Drosophila melanogaster: one gene and its partner. The protein of the gene in region 2 binds, or shares a complex with, the protein of the main gene of each other region. Each region holds a gene or a part of one and is shown on either strand. Other genes may lie near its edges.

Region 1 (5,267 bases), on a different chromosome or scaffold from region 2:
TCCAACCTCCTGATGCCATTTTCATGCCCAATCTCCCCCAGAAAGCGCAGCAGCGGCAGCCGCAGGAACACAAATCCCGCCACAAAGCGACCGATGACACAGAGGCTCCAAAGCAGCAGCAGCAGCAGCAGCAGCAGCAGCAGTCCTTTGATGTAGCCACAAATGCCAATGGGTCCTCTCTGCCAGCGAGTCGGGTGAAAAATCCGGAGGAGCCGGGAGGAAAATCCCCATTGGTGCCGATGCGACAGCATCACTCGAAAGTGACGCGCCCACCCCCGCCGCCGACGCTTTTCCTGGAAAACTCACTGCTGCAGCGCCAGTTCGCGAATCCAATTAGTTACTTGGGTGGACCGCGTCTGCAGCCGCGCAGTAATCGCACCAGCATCGACTCGATATTATCGCTGGATTAGCACCGCAGCCAGTTTCCAGTTCTCCGCCCACTGCAATCCGTGGAAAACCTCGCCGACTAGTCACAAACTGTCAACTGGTGGGCGGGAAAACCCCCAGTGGATCCTTTTCTCCCCCCCAAATGCCACAATCTCCTCAACTTAGAAACTCAAAGTTAAAATCTTAAAAATTGTTAGCTAGTCCTAGTTAAAATACAAATAAATTGTTACAAATTATCGTTTAGTTTGTTACTAAGAAACCTAAATGTGGAAACGTAAGTATTTTGCTAAAAATGGGAAATCGAATACTTCCAAAAGAAAATATTTAAAAGATAGCAGCTCAATTAATTTTCCATTAAAATTAAAATCAATAAATGTATAAATATTTTTATTTGATTAAATTAGTTTCTGCGTTATTCGCCACATTGGATCGCTTGTAAGTATGCATTCACTTTTTGCTTAGCTATACACTTTCGATCTTAAAATAAATTGTGTTTCCGCCCACTGATTACTGATTTATCCCCCTTTGGGAATATTCCCACTGAAAAAAAGGAGCCGATCGCAGTGGGACCTTGTGTAGGGGCGTGTAGAAAAAGCCCTGGACATGGCTACGGGGCGTGTTGGTGAAGGGGGGCGCGGGAATGAGACGACACTAGGTGAAATCCGGTGGCTTGTACTTCGGCGGTCGCTTAATTGGCTTCTATAACCAATTGCGGCCGCCACGTCAAATGTTGTTCTCCTTGGCGCCCTTGGCCCCGGCACCGGAACCTGATCCCGAACCGGATCCGGCATTAGCTGTCGCTCCGGCATCATTATCGCTCTTGTTGTTACTGTTGTTGTTGCTATTGGTATTAGACGCCGTCGATTCCTCGCCATCAGCTCCGTCGCCTGAAAACAGCATAATGGTTTAGTTAGTAGGGTTTAAATACAAATTACAAGTGGTCAGTAGAACCAATTAAAATGACTAATGGTTAATCACTCACCCTTTTCCTTTTCGTCCTTGATCTCGCTGGACGTCTCTGAGGATGCCTTGTTGCTGTTGGTGTCCTTGTCGAGACGCGGCCGCTTCCGCTGACCCTTGTACGAACGGTTATCCCTGCGACCGCCTTCGCCCTCATCCTCCGAATCGGAGTACTCGTTCTCGGGCACAATGCGCTTGTCCTTGTCGCTCTGCGGCAGGCGATCATCCTTGTCGACCTTGTCCTCGTCGTCGGACTCATCGTTGATGGCATCCTCGGGAATCGCTTGGATTTGAACGCCCGGAGCGTGAGGCAGCATGCGCAGGTTCTCGAACAGACGGTTCTTGATCTTCTCCAGGTACTCGGATGTATTCTGATTCGTCATATTGCTGGGACTAATGTGCAGCTTAAAATCGGGCCCAAAGTACTCGAAGTAATCGTTGTAGGGCAGTTCGTTGGCTATCTCCACGGCCAGTGCAACGGAGGTCTCATAGGTCCAGCAGCGGGATACATTACGAATGGTATAACCACCACCGCCGACCATCAGGAATGGCAGGTTATATTTCTTCACGAACTCCACGCACTTGCCGTGACCCTTGACGGTGAGATTGAAGCAGCCTAACCGATCGCCAGTCAGCGAATCGGCGCCACACTGCAACACCACGGCTGCCGGCTGGAATGTTTCCATCACCTTGCTGATAATGGGCACAAATATGCTCTCGTACGCATCATCATCCATGCCATCACGCAGGGGTATATTCACCGCATAGTACTTTCCCTTGCCGGCGCCAATGTCTCGCAGATCGCCAGTGCCCGGGAAATACTCTCCGTACTTGTGGAAGCTGACAGTCATCACACGATCGGTGGTATAGAACGCCTCCTCCACGCCATCGCCGTGATGGACGTCTATATCTATGTAGAGAACACGCTGATGGTATTTAAGCAGTTCCAGAATTCCCAGAACAATGTCGTTGACGTAGCAGAAGCCCGAGGCTTCCGATTTTTTGGCGTGATGCAGCCCACCGCCCCAATTGATGCAGATCTCCGAGGCTTGCTTATTCAGTTTTACGGCCGCAGCTACGGATCCTCCGGCGGAGAGTTGGCAAAACTCGTATAGTCCATCGAAGACGGGACAATCTTCGCCGACATTGAAACGCTGCATCTGCTTGTTGTACTCCGACATGTTGTCCGGCCGAATGGATCGCAAGAACCGGACGTACTCGTCCGAGTGGAACTTGGTCATCTCATCGGCAGTGGCTTTATGGGGACGCTAGAATAGAGAAATTCGCGTTTAAATCTATCATATATATATATATATCTATCATCACATATTAATAAAGTAACTCACGTATATTTCCATTTTTCGATAGAGCCCATAGTTGAGCAGCAGGTTGTGGGTCATGCGTATGCGATGGGGCTTCATGGGATGACCCTGGCCATAGTAGTAGTTGCCAATGTCGCCTATGGATCAAAAATCGCAATTATGAGCACGTTGAAAAAGTAATTATTTGCCACGCTATGTGGAATACAAATTTTAAGGCCACTGTCGGCGAGGCGTCTGCCTGAGAGCAGCACTTTTTCCGAACGACCGCAGTAGTAGCACTTTCGCCCCGAACGAAAAAGCAACAAAAACACACAGAAGAGGAAGATAGACATCAGGTACATACACACACAAACGCATACAAACGCACTGCGGTCGTATGGAAAAAGTGCGCTGTGGACCGGAACGCGCTCGTACAGTCGCCGTAAAACTTGAAATTTGCAAAAATGCTATCATCTGATGCTAAGTGGATGCGGAAAAAACACAAAGTCGACATGGTAACCCTAGCTGGCACTTTGTAAACACAAATTACCCATCTAGTAGGCCTTTTACTTCCATTTAAATGCTCAAAACTTACTGTCGTAGTAGTAACAAACGCGCTTTTTGCTGTGAGACTGCATTTTGCGGTGCTGTTGGCGGGTCTTAAATCCCCTTAAAGTCGATGTTTTTCTATCCTTCGTCGATCGGATGAACTTGCGAGCTCAGAAGATGGTTTACTTTGGTGCCGGTCCGATTTTTGGCACTTTGGCGCAACTATATAGCCAAAATCGGAGCGCACAAGACAAATTCGCGAAGAGGAAACCTCTGCAGATGGGCAGTGTGACCGCGGACTTTTTTAAATCCACACTTCCCGGCTCTGCAGAATATACTTTTAATACTAACTGCATGAATACCGAAAATACCAAACAAATATATTTAATTATTTATTAAAGAAATATATTTAATAAATTTACATATGAAATACGATTACCCTCTTCATACAGAGTGGTCATTTTTTATTAGATATATAAACAATCAGACCTATGTACTTATCAAAAATTATCAAATATCACGACATATTTTTTGGAAAAATAGCAAGGATCAATTATAAGTTTATAAAGCAAAGTTTATTGGCTAAGATCACGTTGCAGAGTCTGAAGCTGGAACTAGAGATGTTGTTGGAAAACATTTAAGTTTAAGCATTCGAATAAACTAATTGATTTCAATATTTTCTATACAAATATAAATGATTCATTATAATTTAAGAAAAACAAAAACACAGAAGTAATAGGTTGTAGTCCGGGGTAAATAATGTTAAGTCGATTAATCGATAGGAATCCATGCTAATATCGAACTTGGCCCATCGCCAGAGGGTGCATTCCCTCTCTCTCTTTCAGAGCATCACCCATCTCGCTCTAAAATCCACCGCAGTTTCCCACGATTTTCCTTCTCACTCTAAAATTCACCGTTGAACGACTCGGACGCGATTTTCCAGCGCGGGTGATTTTCCTCCTCGGTCGGCGTTTTTCGGCGGCTTCTTATCGACAAACAATAGTGCTCAAGTACAACGAGATTTTGTAGTGTTTTGGAGTTGCTGAATTAGAGGCGATTGTTAATTGAATAAAATTAATAAAACGGCGACGCGTAAGTTTCCAACTCCCCCATGTGCAAGTGTGCGTGTGTGCCCTGTGTGTGTGTGTGAAAAAAGAGAAAGAAGAATGGAGTTGCAGTGGAAACACAAACACGCTCTCTCGCTCCATCTCCCTCGCACGCACACACTCACTGGGCGAATGAAGAAGTGGAAAAATTAAAACCGAAGTAAAGTGACAAAGCGAAGTGGCCAATAATGCAAGAAAAAACATATGAAACCCGCAGTGAACATTTAAAACAAAATTAACATTTTTCATAGGCGGCTAAAATATCCTGCGCAGCTTTTCTCTTTCCGACTTTTCTCTTTTTCCCTTAAGAGTCTTTTCCTATGCCTTTCCCCCTCGGAGACCAACGCCTCTCCTTCGCAACTTTCTGTTACTTTATGTTAACTTCTCCCCTTCTTTCTCTTGGTTTTCCTCCTGTATTTTTCTCTGTTGTTGTTGCTGTGCCCGCAGGATATTTAAGACCTTTTTTTGCTGGCGTTTAATTATAGTTTTCATTGCTCTCTCTCCTTCCCGCATCTCTTTTTCCAATTAGCGTCGAAGTTCGGCGTAAAGTAAACAGCAAAAATATAGTATTTGTTGTTTTTATTTGGCCCGCAGACCGTGCAGTAAAAACAACAACTTTAACAGGCGTAACTGTAAAGTCCGCTTTGCTTTTGATAGCAAATAAAGAGAATCGGAATCCGCAGCAAAGTTTTGATTTATTCTAATTAAAAAAGGTAAGTGCGATATAAAACCGGATTATAGCTCCTTTTCATTCGCACCTCCTTGGCCCGAAGTGCCGTTAGGAAGAGAAGCCAATGAACGCAAATAAGTAAACACAAAAACTAAAAAAAAGAGTGCTAGATTTGCTCTCCCGCTGCATTTCTATTTATGCTTCTGTGGCTGATAATGTGTACAGTGAAAAGTCGAAAGATGAAAAAATAATGAAGAAATGGAATAAAGCTTAACTTAAGGAATCTTAAGACTT
Region 2 (6,891 bases):
GTCTCATAAAACACAATCCAAAATTAGGAATGCAGTTTTTTTTTCTTTTAAAAATGAGCGTAGACTTTTAGAAAATGATTTTTTGGCACTGCACAGATATTAGCGTATGCTCCGAAAACCGAATCCCATCTTTGTAATTCCCCACTGTGCGAACTTACCTAAATCAGAGAATAAAGCGATGAGGCTGCAAGTCGACACTCCGAGAAGTGCTTGAGTACTTCTTTTCGTTCTCGATGGAAATCGGCACTACAGAGATTGAAGAATTTTTTAAGTTTTTTTTTTGTGTTTTTGTTTTTACGAAATAGACCACATTCAAGGATGGCTGAGGATAATTTTTTTTTTCTTTTTCCCGTTTTGAACGTCTGGTGCATGTGCCCTATCTGGCGATCGAGTACCTAATGAAGCGGTGTGAGGCGTCGGTGCCTGACAAGCTTCAAAGCGAAGTGTCACTTTGGGCGCCTACTGGCGTGTCCTGAGTAAAATCTTAAAAGATTTGACATTTCGGAAACATTTATTTGGGCATTATATACTTCATTAAACATATTTCGATCTGGTTTGGCCAAACATTTACTTGGCTTGAGAATTAGTTTGCTTTCAACTCAATTTTGATTTTTCGTAGCATTTAATAGTTAAACATAAAACGTACTGGCTTAATTCATTATTGTGTAGTTTTGCCTAGACTATGGGTGAAAATTATTGAACTAGTCCTACATTTTATTAAATTTGTGTGTATGTATGTATATCAATTGTTTTTTTTTTGTATGCATGACATGATTTGTGAGTTTTCCCATTTGAAGGTATATTTTTCAAAAACATACATGGGCGTGGCGTATCGCTAAAGTACAGTACTGAACTTAACTGAATTGTTCTCATTATTTAATACGTTTTCATTCATCAGCGAATTTTACATAGGCTTCCAGATTAATCTTGTAATACTTTTACCAATTTTGTGAAAACTTATTTATGTTCTGCTGCAACACTTAACTGCCATTGCACAATTATAACCTGTATTCAGTTGCTTTTTGCTTTTTTTTCGTTTTTTTTTTTTACAATTTAACATTTTATCGCTTTAATGCTGAACCAATATTTTGAACAATCTTTTTCTATTTTGGCAGTGGGTTGGTAATAAACTTTTAAACATTAACAAATAAAGAGGCCCGTAGTTGGCAGCGTTCATTAATACATAATAACGAAAAGAAATGATAATGGAAATGAAGAATATAAAATTCATAATGAGTCGGTATGCCAAAGGGTTCAATTTCCAAGCAATCCAATCGCCGTTGTCGCTGTATCTCCGCCCCACTCCACCAGGTACTGGACCTGTCCATTTCCCATGCGCCGCTTGGCCCGAATGGCAAAGGGCTCACCAGCATCTATGCGATTCATAGCGCCACCAAAGTACTTGTTCACCGACTGCTTCAAGTCCAGCATGGAATGTCCTGGGGCTCCAATGCCGTTGCTGCTGCTGCTGGTTGCCGTCGAGCTGGTGGAGTTCCGGCGGCTTTGGCTGGGTGACTGCTTCTGTGGTCGCTGGCGCAACAGGCGCCCATGTGTCGGCTTTCCCATTGGCGGCGCGGGTGGCTGCAGATCTTTGGCATAGATAGGAAGGTAGTGGCTGGGTATGGGATTGATGGTGGTGGTGCTGATGACCTATTAAGTGGAAACGAAAAAAACATCTCAAACATTATAGTTACATTGTTGTTAGTTAAACTCTTACCTCAATGGCCGTGGTCAGGCGGCGAGTGCGTCGTCTGCGCACTTCCTGATTGGGCCCTATCGTAATGTCTTTGGCACTCAGTCTTCGCTTGATGGTGCGCACCATGCGCGGCTGCTCCTTGGAGGTGCCCTTAAGCTTGAAAATGCTGTTTATGATGCCATTTACTCCGACTCCAGTTCCCACAGAAATACTTCGTCCCTGCGACGCCTTTTTGGGAGTGGCCATAAGGAATGGATTGTTGCGTCCCAAAAAGTTGACCGGCGGTGGTATGATGAGGTCCAACGAACTGGTTCCCCGACTGCTGCTTGAATTCTCGTCGGATGATAGATCACAGTGATTGCGGCTGTTGTCATAGCGTTTGGACAATCGGAAAGCCTTGCGCTTCCGACTGCTGTTTGCGTCCAGCAGAGGTGGAATGGGAGCTGGTAGTTTGCCGGGATCGCCATCGTTGGCATTGTCGTCGGCGAGGTCCGGCTTCAGTGGCAACTCATCATGCTTATCGGCCTTCTGAGCGGCCTGCTTTTTGGCCTTCTCAATAATCTGTTTGATGGGTATTTCGTCCTCGCTGGTCTCGACTGGGTCATCTTCATCTGTATTAAACTCATACACATCTTTGGGAACTCTTTTCGGAAGCTCGTTGGCACCTTCATCAGGCTCCTCGGGCATGAGCATTAGTTTAAATCTTTTTTCGAGCAGCTCATCGGACAGCTCCTCGTGGGGCTCAAGGAATACCTTGGGAATGTGTGGCGGGCCACTGTGTCTCAGTGCATAGAAGGCCGGAGCCCTTTTAAACTCCCTGCCGCAAACAAATCTGTCAGAGTAATCCTTAAGGGTTTGCTTGAGACGCTCCATCAGTGCCGTTTCGGGCAGTGTGCGCCACTTCTCGCAGATAGGCAGCTGGTGGCGCTGCTCGAGTATGAAGGGCCAAATGTCATTTAGCAGGTGATGGTACTTCTGGTGCTGATGCTTTCGCAGATTGTATAGTGCAATGTGGAGCACATCCACCCATTCGATTTGCATACGACGAACGAATTCTATGCCATTGTTGCAGACCGTGCAGCAGAAAACAAAGAACCTAGACAATGAGATTCATTTCAGTTTAGATCACAGTAAAGCAATTGAATACGTACATATCGCCGCGCAGCAGCTTCTTCTTGAAGTTCTGCATGCATTGGGTGTGGAACCAGTTCCGACATTTGCAGCACTGCAGCATATTGTGATCGAATTTTCCCGGTTTGCCGCAGTAGCAGTAGATCTGCTCTTCGTTGACCCGATGCTTCTCATCCCAGCTGAGCTTATCCGCCTGTGGGTAAAACCGGATTAAGAATCTAATCCGCTGGCTTGGGTTCGTAGAATACTCACATGGTAGGGCAACTGGCGACAAATTCCCGCTGGTTTTGTGATCTTATGGCTGACAGGCTGTTGCATTTTCATGGGTTTAGCGCAGCGTTTGCAACTCCAAATTCCACTGCCAGTAACAATTTCAACGGTGCAACCACGATGGTAGCCACGTCCGCAGCGCTCGCAAATTTCGACCACATCTTCGATATCCGATCGCTTGCAGGCCACGCACATGGGTCCACTGGGGGAGGTATTCGTGGATTCCGTGGTAGAGGCACCGCCTCCGCCAGCGGTAATCGAGCTACCGCCACCTAGCTTGCGCAGCTTATCCGGTTCACACCATTGCTCCGACTGGTCATCAAAGCGGATAAGATATTGATCGCTTGTCTGGTCAATAATGGTGCCCAGGTAAAATCTGCCATCGTTGCATTTGATGAAGACGTCCTCCTGAAGCGCATACGTGACCGCTGGCGAGGGAGCGGCAACTGGTGGTGCCGGCGGCGGTGGTGGTGGTGATGGAGGTGTTGGCGGCGTTGGCGGTGCTGCTTCGACGGTCTTGAAGCTTGGCTTCATTGAGTTGACGCCTTTGAGCAGCGATTGCGTGGCTAGTAGCGGAGGCGAGGGCGAACTTTTACCGGGTGAACTCATGGCCTCCGGCGTAGTTGGCGGTGTCTGTGGCGTTGTGGTCGTAGAATCCGGCTCATCCACAATCACAACTGCTGCTGAGGTGGTCGCGGTACCACTATAACTGCTGCTGGATACAGAACTGCTGCTGCAGCTGCTGCTATCCGCCGTGCTGCTGTCGATGAGGGGCAGGATGGCCTTGTGCTGGATGGCCGGTATGATGGGCGAAGGTTGTTGGGCCGTGGTAAGCGATGAACTTAGCGAAGTGGGCGTCTCCGTATAGTGGTTATTGATGCAAATGTTTATGCGGTCTAACACGACGGTGGAGGGCGGTGAGGTGGAATTGGTCACAGGCACCAGCGGCGGCGGCTGCAGTTGCTTGCCAGTTCCGCTGGCCGCCAGTAGATTGATTTGTCCCGCAGTTTGGCCACCGCCACTGGGCAAGTAGTACGACTGAACGGGAGCATATGTGGAGTGCGCTTCCTGTGGCGGCTTATTCAGACTGTATACACTTGGCGCCGTCGAGATGATTCGTATGTTGTTGGCCTTGAATGGGCTGCAGCTTGTTGCCGCCTGTTGCTTCGGTGGCGTTGATTGCTGAGCGAAACTGTTCGTGATCTGGATGGTGCTGGGATGTGTGGGATGCGTGGTCTGCGGCCCAGTGGTGGCATAGTATCGCTTGGCCACCGTGGCAGGTCCTACGCTGGGCGGCAGGATCTGGTAGGTGGTCGTCATCCACTGCGGCTGCTGGCCAGCTGGCTGTGCTAAGTAGCCGTAGGTGGCCGGAGGAGCTGATGGGACAGCGGTACTCGGCTGTTGCATGAACGGATGTGCCACGTTCTGCGGTGGATGATCGTGTTGCAAGTGAAAATGGTTGTTCATCATTGCGGCTGTGTGTGCGTGCTAGATGCGTTGATTTTTCCAGTGCGCAGTCTTTTGTGAAAAATATGGATCTTCAGTTCGATTTGCCGGCTTTTCGCGGCCCGTTTTTTCATTGATTTTGCGATTGTTTCCCGCTGATTAACACGAGCTCATTAATCTGGCGCCTTTTTCGTCGAATTTGTTGTTGCCCGCCGACACATACATGCACACTTTTGCTACACATACGGACTGGAGAGCGGGCCCTTTTGTATTCTCTGTGTCTTCCTCATTCGTACTTTTCCACACGCACCACAGGCACTTCTAGTTTCGGTTGCCGATTTACCCACCTTTAAGTGTGTTTCGAATCGTGCATTAAATTAGCATTTTGCTCTTATTGATTCGGCTATCGGCTTTGAACGTCGTTGTCCCAAGTTCATCTTTAACACCAGCGAAAATGCACAAAACAAATCACTTGAAAATTAATTTGTGTCAGCCATTTTTCAACATATGCCCACCAGTGTGACCGCATCCAACAATTGTTCTTTTCGTTACATTTTCATATATAAATCTACCACAACTTATGTATGTTATGGTAATAAAATTAACTTGATTAAAATAAATAAAGAAATATTGGAAATTTGTCACCACAATTTTACATTTTTATATTTTTAAATATATCGAAACGTATAAAATATACCATAAATTTACTTAATTATCCCCACTGTGCCGGCAAAGACTCAGCGGTCTCGTCCTGGAAAATACTAGAAAATACATTTAAATATTTCCTAAAGATTCAAAAACGTTAATATCATACATAATTTACATTTTAAATGTAGAGTGACAATTATTAAATCAAATTAAAAAAAATAAAACTAACATTTATATTAAGGTAAAACTTTTTGATTGTCAAAGTAAATCCTATAGAAATTTCAAAATGAATGTTAATTTTTTTAGTAAGTATGCCCTTTGTATGCTTTTATGTACAACTTATCTAAAATCAAACCAACTAATTTTAATTTTAACTCATAATTATCTTAAAGATATCAAATAGAAAATACCAAATACTAAAATCCCTATCCTTTGGTCTGCCGTATTAAAATCGACAGTTGCCTATCAATTAATGTTATGGGTACACATATCAATACTAGCTTTAAAAACAAATAACAGAATTTGATAAGTTTTTAGTATAATGATCATCTAGTAATTGGGGTCAATTATATGAATACGAAGTTGCGCGCCAGAAAATACTAGATAAAAACCAGAGGACCAAGCAGACAGCTAGCAATGGTATATATAGCAGCGAACTTTAGTTCGATAGGTTTTTACCAAATTGGTCACGCTGCGAACAGAAGCAATTTTACTTGACGGAGGTTTCATTAAATTTTCACTTGTGAATAAAACGCGAAAAAGCACTTAAAAACCGAAGAACTGTGTAAAACAAAAGCGGTACGCCAAGAAAGTGAAGTGTAATAACTAAACTAAACAAGTAAAACGCGAGTTTTTCACTTCGCGAAAGGTTTGTGAGCTGCAAAATTGTTAAGGTAAGTAGGTTGAGCAGGAGAAGAAGAACTGGAGCTCCATTTGTGCAAGTTGGTGGCTCGAATGACGCACTTGGCTGCAACCGAAAACATTCGATTCGATCAGAGCTGCAACTTTCACATCAAAATTGTACCCATATGTACATTTTACATATGTATGGTGTACCTGGACACGCACACTGATTCCCGCACCCATACACACACTTAAACACACACACATACAGCGGCGTGGAAAAGTGAACTGTAAACTGGAAAAAAAGCGTTTGTGTTGGTGTTGGTGTGCAGTGAATTCATTGAGTAGTACTCCTTTCCAGGCTGCTGGTCACTTTATGTCCAGGTCGCGTTCATCCGCTAAAGCCGTGCAGTTCAAGCACGAATCGGAGGAAGAGGAAGAAGACGAGGAGGAGCAGCTGCCTTCCAGGAGAATGCACTCTTACGGAGACGCCGCGGCCATCGGAAGCGGGGTGCCGGCCTTTTTGGCCAAATTGTGGCGCCTGGTGGACGATGCCGATACCAATCGCTTGATTTGCTGGACCAAGGTAAGCCTACGCCGCCATATTGTTTATTTACCTTTCCAGGGACTCCCCTCCCACCACATACCGCTAATCAGCATGGCAACAACAATGACTTGGCCATGCAGGTGTCTCAAGCTCTCTTTGTAGCGTTTCGCTCTCTGTTTTGTTGTTGCCCATGCCGCATCGCACGTATGCAAGTTGCCTTCCCCACACACTCATCTTGTTGTTGTTGTCGATGTTGCCATTTGCATGCGTACGTGCGTGAACTCTGGAAAATTTTCCATCTCCAACTGAC

What was found.
Region 1: Pcl (region 2) and HDAC1 share a complex: the UniProt entries of both Drosophila melanogaster proteins name them as parts of the form of the Esc/E(z) complex.

What each region holds. Positions count from the first base shown.
Region 1 is NT_037436.4:4,624,959-4,630,225, reverse strand, and holds HDAC1 (histone deacetylase 1), read right to left. Parts: upstream 3,493-5,267; 5' UTR 3,287-3,492; coding exon 3,244-3,286; intron 2,807-3,243; coding exon 2,694-2,806; intron 2,616-2,693; coding exon 1,370-2,615; intron 1,275-1,369; coding exon 1,111-1,274; 3' UTR 759-1,110; downstream 1-758. Other genes in the region: axo (axotactin), read left to right, coding at 1-410. UniProt on the Drosophila melanogaster protein: Catalyzes the deacetylation of lysine residues on the N-terminal part of the core histones (H2A, H2B, H3 and H4).
Region 2 is NT_033778.4:18,133,600-18,140,490, reverse strand, and holds Pcl (polycomblike), read right to left. Parts: upstream 5,066-6,891; 5' UTR 4,568-5,065; coding exon 3,080-4,567; intron 3,021-3,079; coding exon 2,848-3,020; intron 2,793-2,847; coding exon 1,718-2,792; intron 1,651-1,717; coding exon 1,255-1,650; 3' UTR 501-1,254; downstream 1-500. Other genes in the region: Hsf (heat shock factor), read left to right, coding at 6,411-6,620. UniProt on the Drosophila melanogaster protein: Polycomb group (PcG) protein.